4 linked regions of the Oreochromis niloticus genome follow. The protein of the gene in region 2 purifies or fractionates together with the protein of the main gene of each other region. This does not show direct contact. Links are inferred from orthologs where the notes say so. Each region holds a gene or a part of one and is shown on either strand. Other genes may lie near its edges.

Region 1 (7,807 bases), on a different chromosome or scaffold from region 2:
TCGCTGTTTTACTACCCCCAGCATTCGTCTGCGTATAAAACTCAAAAGTAAAATATTTTGTCTTTCCACCTCAGAATCCAAACTCGCCAAGAAGATCCAAATCATTCAAGCATAAGAACAGTAAGTGAAAATAAGATTTTAACTTCCTGCTTGAGTTTGTCTGTATGTAATCAGCTCTTAAAACAGTGCAGCTTTGCTATATGCTGTCATATGTATACTATTAGTTAAATTACCCACAGATCACTTTATAATAGTGGATACCAGAGTGAATCAGCATGTAGAATCATTTTCACATTACAGTATATTTATAAAAAAAAAAGTTTTATTCTGTCCTTATATTGGTCTGGCTGGAGGTATTATGTTTCCAGGTTACGCCTATCTGTCAGTACAGTCCATACTGTAGTGGTTTACAAATTCGCCTAACAAATGAGAAATCCTCAGCCCGATTGCAGGAGGAGACACAAATCCCTTTGAGGTTGCATCAAAAAGAAAAAAGAAATCTGCCAAGCCAAGCATACAGAGCTGCCCGCTGTGGCGACCCTTTATAAATAAGGGAGCAGCCAAAAGTAGCTCCTTCTTCCACCTGTATGCTCACGAAAGTGATTTCAAGGGCAAAATTACACAAGAATTCCTCCTTTAGACACAACATGCCCTAATAATCTATGTCTAATAGAATGAAATGAAGTGGTGAATTTTATTGTCCCAAATGTCAAGGACGTGTTAACGTCAGCTGATTTTATTAGCCACTATTAATGAGCGTAATTCAACAGGAAACCATAACCATATATTTGGTCACATAATGAAGTGTTAAAGGTGTTTGGCTTCAGACTGTGGTGGCTATAAAGGTATCCTGTTTTGCTTTCTCTATATTTGTCACATCCATGACTTTATAAGATTTCTACCACACCAAAGTATGCGGTAGAACGTTTTGTTCTGTAGAATTCAGAAAGTTCACAGTGTAGCAACATAAGGTTTTTCTCCCTTGATCTGTCAGTTAAACCTTTGTTTATGGTAAATGGACTGGTTCTCTACTCTGAGCATTCAAAGCGCTTTATACAACTTGTACATTCACCCAATCACACCCAAGCACTTTTTCTAAGCTGTTAAGTGCTCCCTATCTAACATTCATACACATTCACACTCTGATGGGTGTTGTAGGGAACTATGTTGGGTTAGTATCTTGCCCGAGGATATTTGGCATGCAGACTGGAGCAGACTGGGATCAAACCACCAACCTTCCAGTTAGCAGCTGACCTGCTCTAGCACCTGAGCTACAGCTACCCCCAGTCTACAACTAAAAAGACATATTAAAAAAAACTTACAAATTTCTGCTAGCATATTATAAAAATTATTCAAAATACTCTTACTGGCCACTTTATTAGATACATCTTTCTTGTGCTGGGTTGGAACCCCATTTGTGCACAGAACTGCCCTCATGTTTCATGGCACAGGTTCAACGCACTGCTGGAAACATTCCTCAGAGATTCTGGTCCACATTGATATCGGCCAAAGTGTGCCAAGAAGATATTTCCCACACTCTTACACTGACACCAGAAGTCTGAACAGTTGAGACAAGGCAGAATGGATCAATGCTTTCTTGTTTTTTTTACGCATGTTGCAGCAAAAACTAAGCCTCATCATACCAGGCAATGCTTTTCCAACCTTTTATTGTCCAAATTTGGTCAGGAAATGTGTCTTAGGTTCCTGTTCTTAGCTGACAGGAAGGGCATCCGCTGTGGTCTTCTGCCACTGTGTCCTGTCTGCTTCGAGGCTAAACATGTGCGTTCAGAGATGCTCTTCTGCGAACCTTAACTGTATTGTGGTTATTAGCATACTCCAGATGTCTGGCGTCAATGAGGCATTTTCACCCATACGACTGCTGCTCATTAGATATTTTCTGTTTTCTTTAAACCGCACTTAAATCGTCTTTTTTCCCTATTCTGAGGCTCAATTTTAATTTCAGCTGGCTGTCTTGAGCATCTCTACATATCTAAATGCATGTAGTTGCTGCCATGTGATTGGCTGGTTAGATATCTGCCTTAATGAGCAGTTGAACATGTACCTAATAAATTGTCTGGTGCACATATAATTTAGAACCAGTAATAGTGTAGTGATTGAGACACTAAACACCAGTTGAAATCAATTATGTGTCTGGATTGAAGCATGAATAAATAAATGGCGCGTCTGTTCCTCTAGGCATGATGGGTCCCAGACGTCGCATGGACAACCAGGAGAGCCCGCGCATGCTGATGAAAGATGAGGCATTCTCACAATAACACAAACACAAACATTCTCTCACTATCATGTGTGCGGAGATGCACACAGAGACACGCTCACGGGATGACCAACAACACTTCACCTTTGGTTCTTTATGTTGTGAAATGAATGGACGTTGATGGTTAAAGGCAACGTTTGTGGTGTTTGCTGCTCTGCAGAAGCAGTCCAGAGCTCCCAACCTTATACTTGACAAATTTATTTTTATTCAGAAAATCATTGTACCAACACTTGTTTTGTTTTGTTTTTTGTTTTGTTTTTTAAAAAGAAAATTTTCTGTAGTTATCATTTTCGACTGATACTTTTCACCAAATATGATTTCACTGCACAGATGTAAACTTTGGTGTAATTCATTCAGAGACGGTGTATGCTTACAGTATTATTTTGTTTCTTTTCATAAAATACAGAAATGATTACACAGTGGATGTCCTTATATTACCTCACATTTTACAATCTCAATCTTTGAAAAAAAAATAATAATGTCAAAGACAATCATTGCTAATGGTTTGTCTTTTATTTTCACCTTTCACTGTCTGAATTTCTCAAACAGAATTAAAAGACAAGCATCTGTCGTTCACCTGTGGAAACTTGTTTCACAATGTTCAGGACATGAACTCCTGAAGTGTAGAAGCAGGTATTTGGTGCAGAAAGCAGGTTTCTTCATTTTTCTTTTTTTTTTTGGTGGATAGAGTTGCTTGTTTTCTAGCATTGAAATATGTCTTTGTATCATGTGTTTACATTGTAAAGGGTTACATATGTCCTTGGTGTGATGTGATAGTGTAAATATTCTAATAGTTGAATTGCTGCTATCATGGCTCAGTTTGTTTCATCTGTCTAGCAAAATAAATGATTTGTTATCTGTCCTGTGTTTTCACATTCATTTTAACAAAAGTGTGAATGTATAAAACAGCAACCAAGTACATAGAATTAATGTCTTACCGACCAACAGGGGGTGCTGTTGATCAGATGATGTACACATGCTTCTGTTGCTGGATGTGGGCCTAAATATTGCCTTGGTTAGTGTGGTTATAGGTCATTTTCTTAGAAAACTGTCATGTTGTAAACACAGCCGTGTTCATACAGTTCAAGCTTCTTATTCAGAGTTTATTGTACCAAGGGGGAGCTGATAATGTTTTTGTGTAGCCTTCCTAAACTCTGCAGTACAGGCATTAATGTAGCCCATAGGTTAAAAGATTTTGATGAGCAATAGTTCTCAAGGCTTTCTGAAAGTCTTTCCAAGTTTTTCTTTGGACGTGGGCTGCTTTTTCACTCCTATTCATATTCAGTCAATGTACCTGACCATTTTCAGGAGAATGTTTTGTTTTTTTTTCTTTAAATTCAAGCATAAAAGGGGGCATTTAACTCAAGGGAGGAAGTAGTTTTATTTCTGCACATACCAGATAACTTAGCACAGGACCAGTTTTAAAGTGGCACTTTTTTAGACAAAAAAATCCAAAGATAACACAGTTTGAGTGTGTTATAGCAACAAGCTGATTTCTAAAGAGCTACTAGCTGAAGACTTGGAATAATTTGGTATTGTGTGCAAGAATTTGGAGAAACTTGACAAATAGAGGATAAAAAAAATGCCAAGCCTAAAACAAATATCTACAACAGATGAACAGTAAACAGAAAAAATCCACAAAAACTGACAGAGGATCTATGTACTGTTTACTGAAGACTCATCAGAAATAGCCTCAGTGGAAGGTTGGCTATCAACAAGCCATTATTAAGGAAGGGAAATGGGGAGAAATGGCTGAGGTATGCAAAACTTCACAAGAATTGGACTCTACAGAGGACGTCAGGGTAGAGGGTAGAACAGTGGGTGTCTACAGTCATCTGTATAATATGGTGGAGGCTCTCTGGAGGTTTGGGGCTGTGTTTCAGTCAATGGTGTAGGGGATCTTTTAAAAATGAATGGGAAAGTAGCGTCATATTTAGATCCACCATGCAATGCAATCTGAAAAGTGTCTGACTGGCAGTGACATAATTTTTTAGCAGGAAGGTGATCCCAAACAAAGAAGAGCTTTGAATGTCCCCTAAGAAGACTGGAGAACTATTCCTGAAGAGTATTTAAGCTTGCTTAAGAGAGTTCGTGTTGTGCTGATGAATAAATGTAGTCATACCAAATATTGGCTTTCAAGCTCCCTAAAATTGTACAGCCTCCGTTTTTCTTTTATCCTGTATTTCCCTGTATGTTTCTATACGTTTCAACACTTCTAGATTCAGCACATTACTGTTTAAGAAAAATTAGTGTTCAGGAGGCAGAGTATTACTCCAGGATTTGGTTTGGAAGAAACAAAATTACACTATTACAAAATCTATCGCAAGTTTCTGTATGTCACATTTGAAATCAAGCGTTGAAAATAAAATATAATTGAAAATATATACTTTTACAAAATACACAAGAAATAAAGACTTCAGACTAGCATGTGTTTTAACGTGTTCAAAAAGAAAAAAAAAATCGAGATTATTGCGCGCTGAAATTTGGAACTTCCTAATTTCCGATGTTTGTGAACGCAACATGTAGTTGAGCGTACTTGGTTTTGCTTTAGAGTGCAGACAAACTATCTGCTCAAGATACTCAGTTTGTCATAAGTCAGACGTTATCATGTTTTTAATTCGCCTCACAGTGTATTAGCTTTTAGTTATCGTTTATCTGGCGTCGTTCAGTCGTAAAGGCGCGAGTGGGAGATGACAAGAGCTCCCACTTGGCGTGTTCACAAAACGAGCAGTCACTAGGTAGAAGCAAATCCCGGAACTTGAAACGGTAGGAAGTGAGCTAACGTTAGCTAGCTTTTTGTTGACAGTGTGCTTGCTGTCAAACCAGAAACCGACCTAAGCAGAAGTACCCGGAGTTAGTTAGCTACCTACTTGGAGACTTCAGCCTGCCGCACTTTTATTTGGGCCGAATTTGGTTTGAAGTTTCCGTCACTTTTAACCACTTGTGGCTCTAGAAGATGGCATCGAGGGGAAGCTTCACTGGTCCTCCGATGAATTCGAGTATGAGCCCCATGAATGTTGGGCATGCCGCGGGCATGAGGATGCAAGGAATGCCCCAGCCTCCGGGGGGATATCCCAGAAGCATGAGCAGCGTTCCCCAATACCCCCAGGTTGGTTCTGCTTGATTTCTCCGTGTCAAATAAAGAAACTGAGTGAAAGGTGAGGGTGACGGTATTTGTCCGATCACCCCCATGTCTTTTTAAGCCTTTCGTTACTTTGGAGCCTTAAATTGGTGTTTAAATAAAATTATCTAATTGAAATACTCACCCGAGAGACATGGAAATAAAAAAAAAAACCCCATAAAGCTCATTATTCTTCATATATATCACCGTGTGGACACTACTTCCGCCTTCGAAGTGGGTGTAATTATTTATTGATTACCGCAATCATTAAGTGTAACCTTTTTTCTTTTATGGCATTTGAAGTGGTACATAAAAGTAGTGGGACGTTTAATTCAAATTGATATCGTTTAGCGTTTTGTGCGCGTGTGAAAAAGAAAATCACGTGGTTGCCCGCTTCGCCTCCTGTCAGTTAGCGTGAAAGCAAAAGTTTATCAGCCCCATCTGCCCAGAGGCAAGCCTGCATACATCGTGCCAGTATTGTCACCATCTGCAGCTTCTCCCGTAGTTAACAGACACCATCGCAGTTACCCCCGTTTTGACAGTTGGAGCCATTTGGGTTTAGACTTTTTTTTAATGTTTACAAACTGGACAAAGTGTGAGAATTCTCACAATTTGTTGATACATTATTTACAGTACTGATGTGTTACATAAAAAGACATAATTAAAAAGAAAAAAAATCTAGTCAGTAACAGGTCTTAAAATAAATACACCCTCAGATGTGTAACAAAGCACAACACATCACACTGGGTTATTATTTATATAACAAAACCTGAGCCGAAATGCAGAAGCAGTGTGTGAAAAACTAAGCACGCCTCAAGATTCAGGAGCTTGTTCAACTGCTTTTAGCAGCAACAGTGTGAAGTAATCCTTTTCTGTATGACTTTATCAGCCCTTCACAGGAGGAATTTTGGTGCACTCTTCTTTACAACATTGCTTCAGTTCATTGGCATTTGCAGGCATTTGTTTATGTGCAGCTCTCTTAAGATCCTGCCAAAGCATTTTACGCGGGTTGAGGACTTTGATTGTGTGATTACACCACGTTGATTCTTTTCTTCTTGAGCTGTTCTGTTGTAGATTTGTTTGTGTGCTTGTGATCATTACACTCGAGTTTTAGCTGTCAAGTATATGGCCTCGCATTTGACTTCATCACCGCGCTTGACAGCTGGTATGAGGTGTTTGTGCTGTTATGCTGTGTTTAGTTTTCACCAAATGTAGTGCTGAGCATTATGGCCAAATATCCCCAGTTTGGTCTCACTTGTCCAAAGGACATTGCTCCAGAGGTTTTGTGGTTTGTTCAAATGTGAGAGCCTTTATTCTGGAAGCCCGTCCAAACAAGCCATACTTGTTTAGTTTTTTTCTAATTGTGCTGCCATGAACTTTAACATTTAGCATGCTAACTGAGGCCTGAGAAGTAGCTCTTGCAAAGTTTGAACTTGGAGTGAATTTACTGGGACGTTCACTCCTGGGAAGATTGGCAACTGTCTTGAATGCTTTCCATTTGTGGATAATAGTTCTCACTGTAGACAGATGGATTCATATTGTTTGGAAATTACCTTATAAGGCTTTCCAGATTGATGGGCAGCAGTTGCTTCTCAAGGACTATCGCTGATGTGTTCGTGTTAACACACCTGAATCCTCCAAACCAGCAAACTGTCAAAACCTCTGCTGTTACAGAGGTGTTCACACTTCCTGAAACTAATAAATTGATGAAGTGCATTAGCAGCATCTGGCTGTTACTTTACTGCTTCTGCATTTCTATTTATTTTTTTTGTTTAACAATAAATAAAAACACAGTGTAATATGTCATGTGTTGTATTTCATCCAAGGTTATATTTAGCAAATTTTAAAGCATGCTAAGAACCAGATTTCTTTTCATTATATCCTGATACGTGAAACCTTTAAGTTGAAAGAGGTTGTGCTTTGTGTAGATGGAGATAAAGACTGCAGTGCCATAACAGTTTTTATATGCACAACTTCATAATTAAACCATAGAACTTAAAAACTTAACCCCACCTGCAGAAACAGTGCATTTACGTTTTTGGCATGTTTTTAATGGGGCTATTATGACTCATAATATTTATGGTACAACCAAAAGCATACAGTGTAAGTGACTATACTGTATGTCACTGTGCACTCTTTTTACTCACCAGATCCAAAAAGCTAGAATTTGATATAAGTTGATCATACAATATGAAATTTATGTGCACACAGCTTAACACATCATTGGTTTTATTATTATTATTATTTTAAAATGGGTACTTTTTTCTGTCTCTTTAGTAAATCAGATCCTTGATTTCTTTTAGTCCTAAATGAAATATTCAACTTTTTGTGTAGATATGGAGAAATCGTTCCGTGAAATCAGTTTCCCTCTTTTTCTCTAGCGCCCCGGGATGCCATCCAGCAGAGTGGGG
Region 2 (7,194 bases):
AGCTGCCAGAGGTCAGTGAACACCAGGAAAGGTAAAAATGAAGCCTCCTCACCTGTTCCTGTACGTCCTCAAAATCCGAGCTGAGCATCTCTATGAATATGGGCACAGCTCCTGCCTGGATTACCACCCGTGTCTGGTGAGATGTACCTGAAGCAATGTTGGTCAATACCCACGCAGCCTCAAACTACAATCATATTCAAAACATATGAAGAAAGTTAGTGCACTGAACTCACAACACATGCAACCTTTCAGATATGATGGTGAAACAGGAAGAACACGTTGCAAACAAACATGAGGGAGAAAAAACAAAAACAAAAATCTACAAGCTTCAAATAAAATCTAATATTAGTTTTCTAGGAAAACGTACCTGCAATGTGCAGTTTTCTCTTCTTTTCAGGAACTCAACAAAGCGCTCCACCACCCCTGGAGTGGCAATGACTTCATCAATAGGTGGGTTGGGTTCTGCGTGTGAGGTGACGTGGCAACAATTAATACAGGCATACTTAACAGCATTACACCCCATGTAACATTCACTCCGGCCACTCTGATATTGTGTAGTTATGAATTTTAGCAGGAATGCTTTGGCAGCGGTAAACTGTGAGATAGAGTGGCAGATTATGCAGCTCAAAAAAATGCTTTTGTCCTTGCATTGGGCCTCAATCAGTTATCATCTTTCCCTTGTAAGACATACTGAAACAAATACAAAGACAGGAGTGGCTGTAATGGGCAAAGCTAGGGCCCCACTTACCTTTAGAAAGTAGTTTCCTAAAGCGCTGAGTACCTATTAGCTGCTGCTCAGGAGAGCTGGAGAAAATCATCTGAATCATGTCTTCAGAGATCACCCCACCCTGTGTGGCACAACAATGGGGATTTTATATAACACATATGAATTGCTGTAACAGCTGACTTGATGTGTGCAGTGAGTGATGACATCTCATATGCCTGGATATCAGGAATCTTCTTGGTACAATGAGTTTTGTCAGTTGACGAAACTCGGGGGGGGGGGGGGGGGGGGGGGGGGTAACCACACTTTTGAATGTTTCATTTTCATTTTTGCCACTTGGAGCAGGGAGTCTGCTCAGTGGTGCTGAGAAAGCTGTAGCTCACTCCTCACATGTGCAATAACACTAAGTGCAATAATCTTCCTGGCATCGTTGTATTTTTTACTCAGTTGTATATAGCATTTGTATTCTATTTTTATCTTATTGTATATTTTATTCTATTTTATTCTACTGTATATAGTATTTTATTTTATTCTATTCTGTACAGTTGTGTACTGTATTTATTCTTATTTTATTTTATTCTAATTTTTGCTTCATAACTTTTGCACTGTCCACTTCCTGCTGTGACAAAACAAATTTCCCACATGTGGGACTAATAAAGGTTATCTTATCTTATCTTATCTTATCTTAAACATGCTTAGAGACAGTGCCCTAACTGATTAGAACTAAATGCATCACAGAGGAATTTATGCAAATTACAGTTACTAACATGCTTACAGACAGTGCCCTAACTGATTAGAACTAAATGCATCACAGAGGAATTTATGCAAATTACAGTTTGTGTGCTAAAATGTAACTTTGCATACAACATTGTGGTCTGGTGAGGCGAGAAACACACTGCACTGTGTACGAAAGATTCAACATGCTATTTGTGTGGTTTGCTATGTGTCAATGTCACTGCATACATTAAAATTTGTGTTGTTTTGAACATGACACAGAAAAGCTCCTCTACAGCCTCCATGAGTTTTACAGAAAAATGACCCAAGTAATCATTTAGACATAAAACCAACATGTTTAGATGCCATCTGATTACCAGAAAGGCGTGTATGTGTGACAGAGCAGACATATGAATGCCTTCTCACCATGAGTGGGTCCATGTTGTTGGCCTGGGACTCCAGATAGCCGCTATCAGCCATCCCATCCTCGTCCAGGGTGCCATCATCCTCCACAGTGGCGACATTTCTCCTCTTAAAAAGCTGCAACAGAAGTACAAATAGGCATTTCCCTTCCAACACTAAATTGCTGCAAACAAAGCATGGCCTCAAGTTTACTCCAAACACTGGCAGTATGTAATTTCAGGATCATTATGACGGTTTTAGTTGTACAGTATAACACATTGCTTACTTGCTCATCCTTCTTCTGTTTACGGAGCTGCAGGCCTTCCTCTTCCCTCCTCCTTCTCATCTCATCTGTGTTGAGAGACTTATTCTTGTAGCTTTTGAGGCGTGCATTGTCCTTGCCCTGACTCATTGTGCAGCCTGAGAAGAGTCAGAAGTCTATTATTTGGATATGCTTTGGAGCAAATCTTTCAAAGTTCCCAAATGAGAAACAACAAACCCTCCTGTTTTTTTTTCATATTTTTTTTTATTAAACACCACCAACTGTACTGCAAAGACTAGCAAGACAGACACCAACTAACGTAGCCAACGCTGGCATAGCTACCGGTGTGCATCATTCCTCTCAAAAAAGATTGTTCAACAAACAGGGTCATGTAAGGATAGCAGCTAGCCTATTAGCTTCCCGTGCCTTGATGCTGCGTGAAAAGAAAGCATCATTTTACCACCTACTGATCGGGGTCCAGTACTTCCGTTGTCAACTCACAACTCGGACAAGCACAAGGAAAACCCAAAAGCACAAGTCCCCCGGGAGGGTACACTTGGTCAGCTGGCTAATGTCAACGCCGCTCTTAGCCTCCTCTACTATCGAAAGCTAGCTGGCAGCCAGCGGCTAACTGCTGTAGCTAACGTTAGCTTAGTACCAAAATCCATTACATTAACTTTAGCGCAAACGACAGACCACCGTCTGAGACAGTAAGAATTCATTTAACTTCTCATTATGAATCGCTGCCACACATACACAGCTAAAATGTAAACGTTTTTCGTTATCTAACCTGTCAGATTGGGCTCCGTAATCCCCTTATTCGCTAGGCCACCGTTTGAACAGCCGTCGCCGGTATACTAGTGCGCATGCGTCCAACTAAACGCAAACGACCCACAACTCCCCCGCACGTATCTAAGCTCCGCCCCCTCCTACGCCTCTTTTTCCCCCCCTCTTCTTTTTGCTTTGTAAATTAACAGAAATGCGACGTTTGCTTCATAAACAGTTTGACAAACAAGCGGTGGCTGCAGGGTTACATTCATGGTATAACCGGCATACACACAGCCTCACTACGTGTGTGATTGTGCAGGAAATACAACTGTGCGCTCTTCGAAAATCCATCTATCCATTTATCCTCATCACTCACCTCTATGTATGTGCTCTCTATAAGTGCAGGTGCGGCTCTTGGATGCGACACTTCTCTAATGTAGTCTAGACGCTCCGGCGCCAGGGGTCATCGGGGGACACACACACAAACAACAAGTAACACAACATGGACCATCATCATCCTCAGACACACACACGGCCCACGAGCATCAGCACCATCAGATACGAGCACATTAGAAGTACGAATAATAATAAAACTGTAAACAAGTGACAAAATAAGAAAAGAAAGGGAAAAAAGAAAAAAAACGCAAATACATGCAAAACTAAGGGAAAGAAGAGAGATTTGAACTTAACAGATTAAATCACATAATTCACTTTGAATTTAATCTATCTATCTATCTATCTATCTATCTATCTATCTATCTTCATACAATTAAACACTGTGTGCGCGCGCGTGTTTGTGTGTGAGAGAAAGAGCGAGAGGGGATGAGAGGATAAAGGCCAACGCACTGCGACAGAAAAAAAGAAATGCATGAACTTTGCGTGACCCAACTATACCAAAACAGTTCACCTATTACGAGCCTTTAAAGTAAGCTTATTGTTAAATAGTCTTGATACATATTCAATCATCCAGGTAAGGTAATCCCAGAAAGTTGATTCTGTTCACCTGGACGTAGCGTTTTCAGTGCTAAATAGTCTCCACATCCCGGCTCTTATTATTTATTTTGCTGCGTTATTTTGCGAAATTATCTAATCTAAACATAAACTACAAAAAATGAATGCGATGCAATATTTTGCTCTTGGTGTTTTCAGTCCTTTATGTCCAGCTTATGCGTCATTTTTCTGTTATCAATCAACCAACCGATCATTCGATTAAAGGCCTGTCAACTGGCTTCGTAAAGGTTCTTAAGAGGTCCTAAGGTCACCAGAAAGCTACATAAAAGACTGCACCTGCACCAAAGTTCTTTTTTCTCTCTCTCTGCCTCCAAAAAACGTCGTCAGGCTGCATGCAATCTATAGGATCCAAACATTGTTACATTTTAAAACCAACTTCAGTGAGCTATAAATATGAGGCGCTCCAAACACACCCTCCCTTTGACTTCTGCCAAAAAATGACCACAATGCCGAGACGACTGGAGGTCCAGAGCTCGATCCTCCCCGGTGGGGACTGCTTTAACATGTGGCAGGACTACATGAATCTGAGCCAAGTGTTCGAGAGACTGTGCAGCAACCGTGAGGTTGAAAACCGAGACACCGAGCGTCCAAAGAAGGGACAAGCGCCCCCCTGGAGTAAGGTCCACACTTCCACTCGGGGGAAGAAATCCTCCAAAAACTCATCGCAGTCCAGTCCGACCAGCAGCGCGTCGGACACCAGCAGCAGCGCGTCATCCTCGGACTACTGCCGCTTCTGCAAGCAGAACGGGGAGACTCCGAGGGTGTACCGATCTCACAAGCTCAAATCAGACGACGGGAAAGTTTTCTGCCCCATCCTCCGGAACTACACCTGCCCTATCTGCGAAGCCACCGGTGACAGCGCTCACACACGCAGGTACTGCCCGCAGATGAAGTGGGAGGCGGCTGGGAGGATGGAGACAGGGGCCAAGTTCTGGTAGCTGTTGAAAACTGCGAGAAACTGTACATATTTACCGAACTGTTTGGGGTATGTGTTCATGTTGGCAGAGACCGTTTCAGTTCCAAAGACTGTTTCATGTTTGACTGTCAAACACTCCGCTACAATCTGCAGCAAGGAGCCCTCATCCATCACATCTGGAGCCACGAGCCGGAGCGCTCTCGCTCGCCAGTACGCGCAGGCTCAACGGGAGAAAACTGCGCCAGCTTTGGGGGTGTCCCAAGTTCTGGTAGCTGCTGAAAACTGAAGCTGAGAGAAACTGTACATATTTACCGAACTGTTTGGGGTGTGTGTTCATGTTAGCAGAGACCGTTTCAGTTCCAAAAACTGTTTCATGTTTGACTGTCAAACACTCCGCTGCAGTCTGCAGCAAGGAGCCCTCATCCATCACATCTGTGGAGCCCCGAGCCGGGGTGAGCGCTCTCAAACCTTGGAAAAAATTAAAGTCTTTAAAGTCCTCCAGTGTTGTTGTTGTTTAATATGATACAAAAAAGAATAAGTGAAATGAAGTGAAGTCACTCTATCAGCATTAGCGAGTTTATAGTAATTTAAAAAACAAACCAACAGCATAAAAATGTAAATTCTGGGAAAAATATCTAAAAAAAAAAAAAAAGCTTTCCTCTTATTGATTATGAACTTTTCGGTTTGTTTGCAGCCATCACATACACGTTTTTCTCTTAACATATAAAACATAAAAATATCACAAAGCAGTGTTCAAACTAATTCAAGTGATGTTTATGGGATTTCATAACTCAGGAGTCGTGGTGTTCATAAAAGAGCAACGTGCTTTGATCGGGCAATAAACCGCCTCTGCAGAACTGGTGCATAAACACGGGGCCCTTTTAAAGAGAGAAATATCTTATATCACTAGATTATTCAACTACATTGCCGCTTTAATGGGCTGTTCAAAGGGTGCAGGGGGTAGGAGGTCATTTTGAGGTATTTCATAGGTCACAAGTGAAACACTAAAGTGGCTAACCTTTCTGTGGAATTACAGAGATTTCTAAAAATGTGCCCTTAGTGTCAGTACATTGTTAATGAAAAAGAATAAGATAAAAGACACATGCAGCCAAAGGCGAATTTAGAGCCCTTTCTTTTGGTTAAAATGAAAATGCTATATTATCCCTCATGTCAGACAGGTTATTCTACAAAAACATCAGTAGTTTGTCTGTTTTTGGTATTATAGGAAATTTGAACTCTCAACTCTTCCAGCTGAAGTTACAGATGTAACTGAACTCACCAGAGAACATGTGTCATAAAAAATAATTAAATTAAATTAAAAGTAAAACTTCAAGGCAATAATGAAACGATTGTGTGAAGTGAGAAACTGAATTAAAGTTCAATAGTTTTAGTTTCAAAATAGATGGAAATACAGGATTTAAGGTCAAAACAGAGTTTTTACAATTCTAATGAGCGTCAAAGTCATAATTTAGAATGATCACCTTCATGCTTGAGTTTTCTTTGAAGAATAGGCGGTCACTCCTCTTAGGGGTTTGCTGTTATGTTTGGACACAACACTGGTTCAGCCCTTGTGTTACGTACTTTCAAAAAAATGCTTAAGTGAATCATATGTCAAAGCTAAGTGGCTTAACAAACAACAAAAGAGTCGTTTGAAAATGTTCAGGTACAAGAACTGGACTGAAAATGAATGAAAAAGCAGCCAATGTCCAGAAAAAAACTTATATATTAAGCTTATAAAATACAACAAAGTCTGGCTCCATGAAAGGGAAATATTAAGAAATGAGTGGTCACTCAAGACGCTTGCACAGTGGTGTATATCAAGACAAATACTTTAACATACATTTAAATATGCATTATAAAGCCTACATTTCTAAATATAAGCTTATCTGAATACAATTCCAGAACATAAATCTGAACATTGAGTGTTACACAGTATATTGCAGGCTTTGAATAATATGTGAACAAACTTTTCCATAAAAACTGTAAACCCCCCCCCCACAACAAACGGCCTTTAAATATGACATTACATACATATTTACTGGAAACCTTTTCTGATTGGTTTAAAAAAAATATGCAAATGTGGAAATGAGAATATCACAATAACTATAAACTAATTTGTGCATGTGCAAAAAGACAAAGAGTAGTAAAATAAACAGCTGAATGTATGTTTTGGATGTTATCTTTCTAAAAGAAGACATGGTCATGAGCTGATCATGTAAAAAAAAACTTGCCTGTGGCGTCCCGACTTATATCGCCTGTTTTTTTCCTTAAGAATCCATAAAAAAAACAATGTTGGATATTAATTTCCAAATGGAAATGTATGGAAAAAGTGCAGTAAACCTACTTCCACTGTCTTTAAATAATCCACAGATGTATAAAAATATGTCCTAAAGAACA
Region 3 (6,872 bases), on a different chromosome or scaffold from region 2:
GTCATACCAAATACTGACTTTGTAGCTCATTGAAAATTTAAAAACTGTCTTTCAAAATCCTTTTTTTGATTTTTCACTGAAAAGTAACATCCGATTCCTCCTTTATGCTAGTTTTTACTGCCTTGTATTTTAATTACATGATTAAAAAAACATTCTAAAAATATTTATAAAAAATTCAAGAGAAAATTAACAAAAATTGTCAGTAATATAGTTGCACAACATTTTTGTCTCCCACAGACATAAAGCAAATGCAGACTGGCAGAGACGCAACTGGATACATTAAACGGCCACTGAATGCTTTCATGGTGTGGGCTCACATACACCGCAAGGTCCTGCAGAAAACCATGACAAGAGCCAGTATTAAAAACATTAACATTCAGCTCGGGTTGGAGTGGTCCAAGCTTAGCAAGGAACAGCAGGAGCCATACTTTCAAGTGGCTCAGAAACTGAAAAACATCCATAGTCACCAATTTCCTGGTATGAAGCAAAAACCCTATATACATGATAGTAAACATTTATTGCAGAGTAAAGGTGGATCTGTTTTCCATTAACACTGACTCTTGTCTTTGTTTCATCATGCCAGATTACGAGTATCAACCCAGAAAGAGGATGCGCAGAGAAAATTTCACCCCAGTGAGGGAAGTTAGACAGGACGGGGGGCAGCACCAGTCTAGTGTTTCCTTCTTTTCCCCACAAGAAAAGACAACACTGTGTTCAGCTCAGCCCACGTGGCCGGTCCCCATCATATCTTCATTGGCCCCAGTGCACTATAATCCCTACTACCTACTACCTGTCCCCTATGTGTCCAGTCTAAGTTACCATATTGATTTAGCCAGGTAAAGAGAGAGAGACACTTTCATGACACAGAAAACTCAGACTTTTAAGTGCTACATAGCTCACAAACACATTAATCTTGCGGCAGTACACCAACAGCATAAACGTCACAGAGAGGTCCACAATTCAGTGACACCATTTATTGAGTTGAGAGCTCGGAGACACGTGGAAATCGTTAATCATGGCAGCAGGCCTGTCAATCAAAGCGACCATGCCTCTAACTCCTGTATCCTGAGTTATCAAAAAATTCCCACAAATCGATCCTTAAGCCAGTTTTTCTATAAGGCTGTAAATATGCTTTTTAATGTTGCTTAGTTGGATATTTTAACATGGCTGTCTATGGCCATCAACTTGCTTTTGGAAGCAACCCCTAGTTGCCACTAAAGGAAATGCATTTTTTTTTTTAACTTTTGCCCTCATTTTTCAGCACTATAGGCTTTGAACTTGATTAAGTCTTATATCAGTCAGGAGTTCCTATGTCAGGGAATTTATTTATTTTTAATCAACATATTGTACATTAGTGTTAAACCAAGCAGCCACAACAAAAGATGCATGGACAGATGAAGTTTGATGCCTGGCGTCTATCTGAATGTTACTTTGACATGTAGCAACTCCCCATAGCCCAACCTGATCAAGCACACTCACCCAAACCAGTCACCACTTTTACCATCCTAGCAAGAGACAATGGTAGTGTGTGTAAAAGCTGCTTGCAAACAAGCTGCATGCATCCTCAACTCACAGTTAGTGTTACTCATCCAGACACCCCAGGACACCCAGCAGGTCCGTTATCATTGCTCTGGACAGGTCAGGGCTCTTTTGGCAATAGATGGTGCATAAATGTAATATTAGTGCTTTAACAGAATGTAAAGTTTCTCATAGTAGGCAGCTACTGGACATTTTATTTCACTGTCACATTTTCTAATAATTACCTTTCCGTGTTTTTATATATGGCTTTTCTATATATGTCCAAATTCAAGGAGCTTCATGGAAGAAGGGAGGGATCACCACTGCATTTACCTGCAGACAGGCCAGATTGTTCCAGCCTTCCTCAGCGGGGAAACAGCACAGCAGCCTAACAGCACTCAGAAAGTCCTCAGTGGTTCATTCACATTAGAGAGCCACACACAGCCCAGCGTCATCACCAATCAGCAGCTGTCTTCAAACAGAAACGAGGCGAACAAATCTGAGGAGGACATTGATGTGGTTGGACTGCTCTAGGAGATGTTCAGCAAACACTGGCTGATTTGCATTTGAGCAAATCAAATATACATTTTTCATATATTAATAGTTTATTCATTTTAATTCTACTTTTTGTTTAGCTGTTGTCATGTATTTAGAGCAGTCCACAACACTAAAAGAAATTGTGCTTTTTCATTGCTACTGATGTAAACTAATGCCAGAAACACACAGGATGAATGATGTTGACTGCACACATGCTTCAAACAACAGTGTAATCTGCTGCAATTAGTAAATCAGCAATTCTTCTTGAAACATTTCATGTGCAATTTTATTTATATACCTATTTCATTACATGAACATAGAAGATAAAAACTACAATGTCTTAAGGCATTCCAAATAATAAAAGTAAAACCACTTTACAAAAAAATAATGTTAACAGTCACACAGGCAGCTTGTTCCAAAGAATGGGACCACAGTAACTGAAAGCCCTCTTGGCATACCTGGATGTGATTCTGGAAACAGTTAAAAGCTCTGCACACGATAGCCTGAGAAGTCTAATCAGGTTATAGACAATGATCAAATTAGAGATGTTGTGAGGGGAGCCAAACCACTGAAAGCTGCTTTATGAAGTAATAGAAGTATTTTAAAGGTAATTCTACATTGAGAGCCAGTGAAGTGGCTTCAGTATTGCAGTAATATGGTAAAATTTCTCTCTGTGTGTGTGTGTGTGTGTGTGTGTGTGTGTGTGTGTGTGTGTGTGTGTGTGTGTGTGTGTGTGTGTGTGTGTGTGTAAGGCCCACTGATGATTCGGGTGATCCTGCAAATAGAGCAATATAGTCATAACCTGATTGATATATTGTTTTATATGATTTCACAGTTTTTGAAAGTGCCTTGAGGCACCAAATCACAAAAGCATTTGCTTCAAGGTGCTCTATATTATAAGGTCAAGACCCTACAATAATACAGAGAAAACCACAACAATCAGACCCCTCTATGAGCAAGCACTTGGCAACAGTAAGAAAGAAAAACTCCCTTCTAACAGGAAGAAACCTCCAGCAGAAGCAGGATCAAGGAGGGGCAATCATCTTTCCTGACTGGTTTGGGATGTGTAGACCCAGAATTGACCCTTGAGAAACACCTGGTTTCATTCGGCAGCTCTAAAACTACTCACTGAAACATAAAAACCTTTACCCTTTAGGGTATGACGACAACCAGTCGAGAACCTGACCAACCTTAAACCAACCAAGCACTATATTGATCTTCAGGTCAGGTTGATAACTTTAGTAAGAGCTGTTTCTGGTTCTGAAACCTGATTGGCACTTATTAATACTGTGAGATGAAAGGTCTTCATTCAGTTATTTCTAAAAAAAAAATTTTGCTGAGCAAATAATGATAGGGCTGATAATTATTAATTACCAATGGATCCAATGGAGTGATAACAGCACATGTGAGACAAACAGGGAAAATCACTGGCCGTAAAAAGATGTTGATAATATTTACTAGTGATTTTAAGATGATATCATGCACTTGACTTTTAGGTTTGTGACTACATTTCAGAATGAAGGCCTTCCAGTAAGCGCAGGGCGTTTCCACTATATGGTGTACTGCCACTTCTTTTAAGTAGCGGAATGCCTTCTCAACAGGTGTAAATCAAACAAAACGCGGACACCAAAACACAAGTGGAGTATGTGCAAATCGCCAGTGATTAGAATCCGCCTTATTATCAACAGCACGGAGTACCGACTGAACAAAGACATCATGAAAAATGGGACCCAAACGGACCAATGAACACTTTACTGAACGTTCGCAAGAAAGACAATATCCAATCACAGTCCACGCAGCTCTAACTGTATCGTGACTGAGGTCCGCGCCTGGCGAATAGGAAAAGTAGTCACCGCTAAGGGGCGTTTCCAGGAAGAGAGCGGTTACATTTTCCTGTAATGGCGGACCAGGCAGAGAGCGAGACTATCGGGTTCAACGACAGCAGGTCAGATAACAGCGAGTAAAGCGTTAAAATGATTATTAACCGAGGGTAATATGAAGCATTTGCGGACATTTAATATGCAGCTAGTCTGCGTTGCTTTTGGTTCAATGGTGTTGATATGTGGCGCTCGTGCATGTCAATGTAGCCACGCCAGCTAACTAGCTTCCAGCTAACTAGCCCCCGTGTTGAAGAGCGGCTCGATTTCTGCTCTCCGCTCCCCGGCACGCGGTAAACATGGGCCAGACAGATTAAACAGACAGATGTTTACCTCTCACGGAAGGCCACCCGAATCACCAGGCTTTGTGCTTGGGCTCAAACGTGGCGGTTGTTATCAATTATAACCAGCTAGCAAAAATATGCTAAAGTGATTGGAAAGTAGCTGTTTTAAATAGACAGAAAAAAGGTTGATGTTAGCCCGATTATCACAAGACGACATTTGCTGAATGTTTGTGTTCATCTACGGCCAAGCGGGTATAACCCTGAAGGGTTCAGCATGTAGACATGAGGTAATATAAACACCACAGAGTCTGAATGGACAACCTGTCCACGTCACACCGTCTTCAAACAGCCTTGCATAGCAATTAAGTAAATTTACGCTAAATGATGTCCTTAAGTAGAATCCTAAGGTATTTGTAATAAGGAACATGAATCTGAGAGACATAGTTACACCAACCAGTCAGCTGGTTAGAAAAGCGAGCAGTATGTTTATGCATCAGTAATAACAGTTCACAAGTGCAGCATACAACAGAGCTCATGTTGGTGTCTGATGGGTACTTTAGCGATACACTGATTGTGAAGGCAAATTCATGATTAAAATGGCAGTTTAGGTGATGGGCAATGGCCCAGAGTTTATTTTTTATTTACTTATATATACTTGTTTATTTTTTGTGTCAGAGAACCAGAGAAATCTTTCATTTCTATCATAGCATCTTTGAACATTTAGCCAGCATTAAATTGTTGCGACGTAACACAAAACTTCTACTTCTTATTAGAGTGCTTTTAAGTTGTGCTATTGCTACTTTGACTTTGATAATAGGTCTGAGTACTTCTTCCGCTCCTGTTTGCTGGCCCATTTCTGCAGCAAGTCTCACATTAGTCAGCAGAAAGTGTTTGTATTCATTGCTAACCATTCCTGGCTTATACTGCAGCTTCCTCCATTGTAAAATTACAATGTTAAGATGTTAATATGATATTACCGATGTTATTACTTTTATAGTGTAATTTATTTTTGTATTGTGAAGGATAATTTGTCATTGTACTGTATATTTAATAATTAAGCTGATAATTGCTTTCTGCACTCTTTTCAAAGGCTTTATTTACAGTTTAGTGTCATGTTAGTATTTATCATAAGCTTTAACTATAACTTTTATTATGTTGTGCCAGAATGGCGCAGCAGGCGGTGCGGTTTCGTGGCCCTGCCCCTGCGCCTGCGCCTACACAGACCCCAGTGTTAAGAGGCCCACCACCACTCCTTAGGCCACCACCGCCTCCTTTTGGGATGATGAGGGGACCTCCGCCGCGACCTCCGTTTGCACGTCCACCCTTCGACCCCAGCATGCCACCAATCCCTCCACCAGGAGGGATGCCTCCACCTATTGGGCCTCCCCACCTACAGGTAACTGCCCCACATTCTTTTACAAGCATGGTTTTCATCATGGAAATGTTACCTTCTTGTGGTGTAGGGTTGTTAAAAAAATCAATACTCGATACTCATTTTCAACAATATTGATACCAACAGTCCTGTCTTTCCTTCCTTCATGACACACAACTTCACATGGCTCCTCCTGTCACAGCTGTAGTAGTTAACGTTCATAACACTGAACAACACTTTAAGAGGAATTTTTAAGGTTAGTAAAGCTCCTGTTTCAACAGCATGAAAGTATTAAATTCACTAGCTGGGACCACATCCTCGGTAATGATGAGGGATGAGGAAGTGTGAACTGGTGCTGCGGTTTGGGGAAGGCCTCGAAGGGGACTGGCGATGGCTCCCGAGCTGGGCAGATCCCCATGTACTAACAATAAATGAATGAAGGAAAGGAAGAGAGGGAAAAATGGGGGGGAAGGGTGGGGCATGAAAATGAGAACAGCAGGTATTGGAGAAGGGGGGCTTTTATAGCCTGAGGCTGGGGGGGCGTGAAGGAGGAGTGGTCCCGCTCCTGAAATTCAGATGATATCTCCACTAGATAAAAATGTTAACCCGACCAGTGCACACATTAACATTAGCTGTTTAACTATTGGCAGTTACCCAATAGCCTTGTTAGCTGTCTGTTATTAGTAACGTGTTGGCTAACGGACTGTAGTTAGAAAAAGGATGAATAATTATTGCAGGTTGAACGAGTGGCTGATCGAATACTTAGCCATGGCAGAGGTGGTTATGGAGAAACAGAAAACCTGGCAGGTTCCTGGCTGTACAGAGCAGGGAGTGAACCGTAGTTGAGCTAAGCAGAAAGGGAAATGTGGTGAACTAATCCGAGCAAATAAAGACTGAAATCTGGAGCAGGAATCAGGCGGTTTCAATTCTTAACGCAGAGGTGGGGAGGTGAAGATCTGCAGGCTGAGTTGGAGCAGTGTACATGCTGGATGAGAGCGAGGCTGCAGGCAGATGTGAACTAGATAATAAACTAACTTTTCTACTTTTACAATAATTTTTTAAAAATATGTTTCTTTATTTCATGTAGCCAGCTGTGAGGTCTTTCACAGTGAGTACAAGTTAACTTTTTTGAGATATGACGACTTCGCCATTTATTCTGGTGATGTAGGATGGGTTTAAAATCTTCCTCATGGTATCAGAAATGGTATCAAGTATTGTCATGGGTTTTGGTATCGAGTTTAAAATTCTTATATTGCGACAACCCTATTCTGGTGACGTGCTCAC
Region 4 (6,953 bases), on a different chromosome or scaffold from region 2:
TGCTTGATCAAGCACTCCATTTCACCTTTACCAACATGATGAGCTTCATACAGCTTGTATTTGCAGAAGCACAGCTTTATTAAATGGTATCATGCTGCAGGGACTTCCTGTTACTTCATCATTTATGATAATTACGATGTCTCCTGTCTTTAGATTATAACATTGAGCCTCAGTACGCTCTTTCAGGATGATAATGATGTGATCTGGCATTATTCCACCCACACAATCTGATAATGACCTGCATTTATCAGAATATCTCAGTGCAAGCATGACACAGGAAAAGCTTTTACACACCTATTAACGATGCTTGTGAAGGATTTCGAACAAAATAAAATGGGAATTACGGTAAAATGCTGAGAGAAAAAAAGAGAGACCAACAACACTGCTGTTGAAGGTTGGTATCAGCTTATAATTAAAATAAATCTGCATCTTTAGCCCAAAGCTACATGAGCTTGTGAAATGTTGATAATAATCACTCCACCCACACACACACACACACACACACAGGTGTGTCAAGTCATACTAATGACAGTTGGTAGATCAGGGAACACCTGTCTTTTCAAGCCATATTACAAACAACGTCACAAAATCCACACAAACAATGGGAAAGCGATGGGGTGGGGACAGGAGCAGAGAGGAATTCAAGGAATTCTCTAACATAACCACACATGAAAATGAAAAACGCACACATCAGTACCTTATTGAGTTCTTCTATCCGACGGATCAGGTAAGGGTTACTGGAGGAGTTCTCAAAGAATACGTAATCTGCAACAGGAAACACGCACATCTTATATTTAAATATATACACCGCATGAACTAATACATTGGCACTACAGTAGGTCAAATCAATAGATATGCATATCCTTTAATCAATAAATGTGGAAACTTGTGACTTTCAGAAAGTGTTGCACAAGAAAAGTTAAAAGGAAAAATCTCTAGTCAACAACAACCAAGTTATAGACGAATAAAAGTGCAAAATTATTATAGTCTTTCAAACTGTAGCCATATGTTACCATACTGTTTCAGTTTGTATGAAAAAATAAATTAAAGACAATAAAAACTTCAATATAGCATTTTCTAAAAGAAAGATTCCCCATGCATATAAATAACATCACCAGATGCCAGTATAGCTTTCTGGGTTTGAGCAGATGACCTATATGCCGTAAGGCTAATGCAGAAGCACTGGTTTGAATCCCCCTGTCTCTCCTCCAGCTTATGCGTCTTCTCGACACTGCAAGGTTCCAACAAATGGGACAAATAAAATAAATGTAACAATATCCCTATTTTTTTTTTTTTTAAATTAGAAGCTTGCCCACCAACTTTGCACAACTTCAGTCCATGGCAAATGCTGCATTCACACAGAGTCTGTAATATTTCAATTCACATGTTCCAGACTTTTAAACGGTGCAGCAGCATATTTGTCAGGGTTGTCAAAATATATATGACTTCATGCATGTCATTAGAGTCTATGTATCATCATGCTAATGTGTATGACAGCCCTTAGCCTCTGGGACGGGAATGTGCTGCACCTCAGTCTTGCAATGCTGTTATAAAATAAATATATCAATTTTTAAGAAAATAAATTAATAAACTACATATCCCATCTATTTTGTTTGCAATGTAGCAGCAAAACAAGACTTGTTCCATCGCGGGAGAAAACTGTACTTGAATGCACCTGGAAGTTTGTGTGTCCTACCTACAAGTTCATGGAGTTTACAATGAGCACCTGAAAGCGGCAGGAGAAGTTGCACTAAAGGTGACGTGAGGGGACAATAAACTGATGCACCTCGAAAATACCGGTTATAAAGTGTTGCAAGACATGTCATTAGACGCCTATAGTTTGTGTGGCATGTCAAGCATTAATGCAATTAGGCTACGTGGCCGTCTGTGTATGGATTTAAAGCTCAAGTATGCGTGAATAAAGGTGTAAAAGCAGACACAGCGACGCCATGCGCGGAGACAATAATTTGATGTTGAATTCCAGTAGACTGCTAACGAGCTAGCTAGCAAATCAGCCAGCCTGCATCCCTATTTGATAATTAATTGCACTTGTGGTTACTGTAGGTGGTCACTTTGGCAAAACACTTTAGCACCTGATGTTACCGAGACGGTTAAATACGATCCTTAAATGCAGCAAACGAGCGCTGAGACGGCATTAATGGTAATCAGTGAAGCCATCGCTGGTGCTAACGTTAGCTAAATAAGGTCTCGTACTAATGGCTGCATGCCAGGAGTGGCAAATACAAAGGCAGCCTCAGACTGCCCGTGGTAGCATGTTAACAACCTTTGAAACACACGTCTAGTCGTGAGGTCTATCCGTGTAGAAGCCCCCTGTATCCCGTGGTCTAAGAATTCAGAAACCCGGAGAGCAGCAAACAAGTGAAAAATGTTTACATTGCCAGCTAACCATTTAGCAAGCTGTCTGCTAGCTGCTGTGGCCACGACAGACGCGAGGCCTGACCCATTTTGAATCTCAAATATACACCAACTCTCACCTTCCTGCTTCAACTTAACGCGTCCACGTTGCTGTACCACATCCGCATCTCCACCATTAAATGCAAACGGCTCAAAATACCACAAAATAACGCCCAGGAGCTGCAAAACTGTAACGGTTTCTCTTTGATAAAAAGATCCACATTGACATACATACCTCCGACCCGGTACATGTTGGCCGCCATTTCTGCCCTCCCAGTGTGCAAACCATAAACTAAGAGAAATGGAATAAATTAATAAAAACAATAAAAGTCACTCTCTTTGAAGGGAAAAGGAGCGACAAATTAAGATCGTCGGAACTCCGGATGTGTAACCTATCGGGAGAATTGTGGCAATTCAACCCCCCCCTCCTCCTTCGAGTCACAGCACCCTTTATGATACAGTTAACTCACGGCAGCCAAAAGAAGTCGGATCAACCCGAAAAACCACTGCTGACGCTGGAGGGGCCCGCGCACGCGCAGCACAGCCACACGCGGCCCACACGCGCAGACACTTACAGCCCACCTCAGAAAACACCCAAGAAAGCAGTTTGTACATTTTTTTTTTTTTTTAATTTTTATATCTGTAAAGCCAAAAGTTTAAACTTTAATCTAATCATTGAAACTGAGTCTCTCTAAAATTCCTAACAAATCAGAAAGGGCTCTAAAACTTAAGAGGAACATGAAGAAGTCTCAGTGTTATTATTATTATTATTATCATTATTATTATCATTATTATTATTTTCTTTTATGCATCGTTACATGATCCACCTTGACCAGAGAGGACAGAAGGCGTCATTTCTAATTCTAATAACTTTAAAGTAAGAGAAGCAAGGCTTAGATAGCTTGGAGGGATATACTGTGATATATTAGGAAAAGGATGTTAAAGATGTACCTGGCAGGCAGTAGTAAAAGAAAAAGAGTTCAGAGAAGATTTATGGCTGTAGTGAAGAAAGATATGCAGAGGGTTGGTGTAATAGTGACATAGTGAGATGATGGCAGATAATGCTGTGGCGATATCCGAAAGAAGAAGAAGATTCAGTATATGATTATGTTTTGTATACTTGATGTAGACATCCATCCATCCATCCATCCATCCATCCATCCATCCCCTTTCGCTTATCCTTATCAGGCAGGCAGAGGCAGGGTACACCCTGGTTCGTCAGTCTGTCGCACGGCTAACACATTGATGTAGATATTTTTTTTATATATATTTTGCTATCAAATGAGCTGGTATAGAATATTTGCATTGCTAAGTTAAAATAATTACTATGTTCTTTATGTTTGTTCGAAACAAATAGATAAATAAATAAAGCTGCACAAAAAATAAAAATAATACTAAAAAAGCTTTATTTATATAATGATAATACTAACAATAATAACATTAATAAATTATACGTGTGTGCATATATTTCTCTTGCTATTTATTTTTTTTTCCATTATACTTATCTTAACATAATGTACCTTTTGTTGCACAAGTCAGAGCTGGTGTATATAGGTATCTCTATCTAGCTTAATTAAATGATATAAAATGGTCTACATTTTAATAATGGTGCGGGCATATTAATCACAAGCTTCACATCTATTTTTTGTCAGTGTAACAGGGAATATTACAGTGAGACGTAATTAAGCTTTCTTAAACAAGACTTTTCCTCCCCGGTTTTCATCAAGTTTGACGATAATTTCTCATCAACCTGCTTCCAGAAGAATCTAAACAGTATTTTATAGGAAGAAGCAGTCTCCACTGTGGACTTAAATCACATATTACGTTCTATACTCCTGTTGCTTATGGATTTTTCTCTGCGTGCGTCCGCGCGCGCGCGCTTGTGACATCACTGATGGGATTGGCTGGAGCTGACTGGGGGGATGAGTCTCTTCTTCAGGCTACAGAGGGAGACGGAGAATAGAGTCAGGGACAGAGGGAAGAGTTTCCACTTAGCAGGCACGGACCTCAGCGCAGGGCCACCTTCACTCAAAGCGAACCACGCCCCGGGGCAGGGGAGACGAGTTCCCCAAGTGCCCAAACTCCTGCGATGGAAGGAAAAATGGACTGTGAAGAGGAGTTCTCTTAGGCTTTGAGGATTTAAGTTGTCAAAATGAAGTTCGGGAAGAGCATCTGCGTGCTTAACGTCGGGGGAACCCGGTACGCCTTCACCCGTGAGGTGATCAGGGATTTCCCTCTTCGACGCGTCAGCCGCCTGATTGCCTGCGCAACCGAGAAAGAGGTCCTCGAACTCTGCGATGACTACGATCGGGACCGGAATGAGTTTTTCTTCGACCGCCACGCTCAGGCTTTCGTGTTTATTATGTTGTACGTGCGCTCCGGCAAACTCCGATTTGTTCCCGGAGTGTGTGAGCTGTCCTTCTACACAGAGATGCTCTACTGGGGACTGGAGAGCGCGCACTTGGACTCCTGCTGCCAGAAACGCCTGGACGATAGGATGTCCGACATCGGACTGGACACACTCTCTGAGGGGGACATCGAGGATGAGCCCCAGAGCCCAGGGGAGTCAGTGCAAGAGGCTGAGCTCACATGTCGCGCTAGGTGGCTCGAGAAAATGCGCAAGGCTTTTGAGGAGCCCAACTCTTCCCTTGTAGCGCAGCTTTTGGCTTCAGTGTCCGTGATCTTTGTTATCGTTTCTATGATTATGCTGTGCGCTAGCACCCTGCCGGATTGGGATACAGCCAAGAGAACTACTGTGGAGGAGCACAGGTAGGCGATAGTCAAGGGTCAGTTAACTTGAAGGAATAGAAGCCCCCTCATGAAAATGCTGCCAAATGTTTAGGCGCAATGTGTGCGGATATCCTACAACTGAGACTGTCTTGCGTAAAAGTGAACTGAACAGATGGAATCGTGTCAAATATTTGATTCTGTCATCACAAGTAGCATAAATAAATAAATATACCTCTTAACATTTGATCATGCATGCGTTCAAGGCAACGGCCAAAGTCATTGCGCACTAATATTAATCAGGAGGTGGATGCATTGAGATGTTTTCTACCTCAGCTTTTTGAGTGTTTTCTAGGATGTTTGCTATAATAACATAAAAATAAGAATGACAGCAAAGCAAGATATTTAAAACATCCATGTATTACATTGGCTGCTGGGGATTTGTTCTTGTGCTTTCTTGAATTGATGCCCCTGAAGTCAGTATGCCCGCTGACAAGTTTCAGGCAGCACATTACACCTTAGCCGGACACATTACACCTGTGCCGGACAGGCCCCCAAGGAAGCAAATCAATAACCAATCCATAGCTTTCCCCTCTTATTTCTCCCACCCTCTTCACAGTTAGTCTGAATATGTTTACTGCCCTGCTTAGTTTACACTGCATTGCGCACATGAAGGGCAAACATAAGGTAATCATAGATTCATAATATTTGAGTGGGCAATGAGATAAAAGTAGAATGTGTACTGGGGGGGATTATATAATAGTGCAGGCAAACAAAGAAATTAGGCCACTTACAGGAATCATCATAAGTCAGAGTTTTGTTTTTTTTAACTTAAGCATGTAGGCGCAAGGTGAAAACGTGTATCTCTATGTCTGTGTGATTTTGCCCTGTACTTTCCTGGAAGCCTGAGCTGGCCATTCTCTATATAAGGTTAGGTTATGCTCCCTCAGGCTGGACATAGTTTTGAGTTTTGGATCAGCTACAGTGGTTAAGTAATCAACTACAAGTGGCTTGTATACTCTGAGGTCAAAAGGATTCCAATGTAGTTTCATGTCATTAGATGATGCAGTTCTCTCAGTTGCTACATAATTTGGGTTGGTGTAACTATTCTGATAGTTGCTTTGCAGGTATTTTAGTAATTTCTGGGCTTCTCTGCATTTATATCTAATGCAAGAATCATCATTCTCTAATTCATTTTGACTGGCCTTGCTCTGCTTGTCAATGGGGTAATTGCGTGACCGTCTTTGACACAGTCTTTCTTTGAAGGGTTTAAACCCTCCCTCTGTGCAGTTTCCCGGCAATTTACTAGCCCGTGTATCTGTCCTGCTGTCTTTGTTTACTTGTGCCAGGCCTGAACTGCGACAGCTTTGTTCCTTATTTCCCATCATTTAACTCCCCTTGCTTTGCTTCCTTCTTCCTCACATTTACTGACTGCCAGGCAGTATTTCATATTTCATGCCATCCATATCTCACTGTACCTCCTCTGTCATTTCCTGTTTACAGTGTGTGCAACTAATTTTTCTTCTATCTTCTCTGTAGGATAGTGGAGGCAGTGTGTATTGGCTGGTTCACGGCAGAGTGCATAGTGCGCTTTCTGGTGGCCAAAGACAAGTGGGACTTCCTCCGCAGGCCACTCAACATCATCGACGTGATTGCCATCACCCCCTACTATGTCACTATGGCAATGGCCCGGGCAGGGATGCCAGGTGCTGGGCTCGGGGTTGCTGGAGTCATACTGCGGGTCCTGAGGATGATGAGAGTGTTCTGGCTCATGAAGCTGGCCAGACACTTCCTGGGACTGCAGACTCTGG

The links.
Region 1: the proteins of kpna1 (region 2) and smarcd2 purify together in Homo sapiens (affinity purification with mass spectrometry; 3 studies listed by BioGRID and IntAct, with this or other methods). This does not show direct contact. The link is inferred for Oreochromis niloticus from reciprocal best matches to the Homo sapiens genes KPNA1 and SMARCD2.
Region 3: the proteins of kpna1 (region 2) and tcerg1b purify together in Homo sapiens (co-immunoprecipitation; 3 studies listed by BioGRID and IntAct, with this or other methods). This does not show direct contact. The link is inferred for Oreochromis niloticus from reciprocal best matches to the Homo sapiens genes KPNA1 and TCERG1.
Region 4: the proteins of kpna1 (region 2) and mta3 purify together in Homo sapiens (affinity purification with mass spectrometry; 3 studies listed by BioGRID and IntAct, with this or other methods). This does not show direct contact. The link is inferred for Oreochromis niloticus from reciprocal best matches to the Homo sapiens genes KPNA1 and MTA3.

The regions. Positions count from the first base shown.
Region 1 is NC_031973.2:15,815,126-15,822,932, reverse strand, and holds the start of smarcd2 (SWI/SNF-related matrix-associated actin-dependent regulator of chromatin subfamily D member 2), read left to right. Parts: upstream 1-4,787; 5' UTR 4,788-5,231; coding exon 5,232-5,384; intron 5,385-7,777; coding exon 7,778-7,807. Other genes in the region: atxn7l3b (ataxin-7-like protein 3), read left to right, coding at 75-120, 2,197-2,276. UniProt on the Homo sapiens protein: Involved in transcriptional activation and repression of select genes by chromatin remodeling (alteration of DNA-nucleosome topology).
Region 2 is NC_031974.2:18,423,219-18,430,412, reverse strand, and holds the start of kpna1 (importin subunit alpha-5), read right to left. Parts: upstream 3,009-7,194; 5' UTR 2,893-3,008; intron 2,261-2,892; 5' UTR 2,253-2,260; coding exon 2,127-2,252; intron 1,979-2,126; coding exon 1,865-1,978; intron 849-1,864; coding exon 749-848; intron 463-748; coding exon 368-462; intron 185-367; coding exon 53-184; intron 1-52. Other genes in the region: nanos2 (nanos homolog 1), read left to right, coding at 4,214-4,819. UniProt on the Homo sapiens protein: Functions in nuclear protein import as an adapter protein for nuclear receptor KPNB1. Binds specifically and directly to substrates containing either a simple or bipartite NLS motif.
Region 3 is NC_031975.2:18,538,923-18,545,794, forward strand, and holds the start of tcerg1b (transcription elongation regulator 1), read left to right. Parts: upstream 1-3,857; 5' UTR 3,858-3,953; coding exon 3,954-4,000; intron 4,001-5,380; coding exon 5,381-5,612; intron 5,613-6,872. Other genes in the region: sox30 (lymphoid enhancer-binding factor 1), read left to right, coding at 238-477, 584-836, 1,812-2,052. UniProt on the Homo sapiens protein: Transcription factor that binds RNA polymerase II and inhibits the elongation of transcripts from target promoters. Regulates transcription elongation in a TATA box-dependent manner.
Region 4 is NC_031973.2:10,590,061-10,597,013, forward strand, and holds the start of mta3 (metastasis-associated protein MTA3), read right to left. Parts: upstream 3,004-6,953; 5' UTR 2,886-3,003; intron 2,880-2,885; exon of another isoform or gene 2,708-2,879; 5' UTR 2,679-2,707; coding exon 2,651-2,678; intron 766-2,650; coding exon 698-765; intron 1-697. Other genes in the region: kcng3 (potassium voltage-gated channel subfamily G member 3), read left to right, coding at 4,568-5,184, 6,682-6,953. UniProt on the Homo sapiens protein: Acts as a component of the histone deacetylase NuRD complex which participates in the remodeling of chromatin.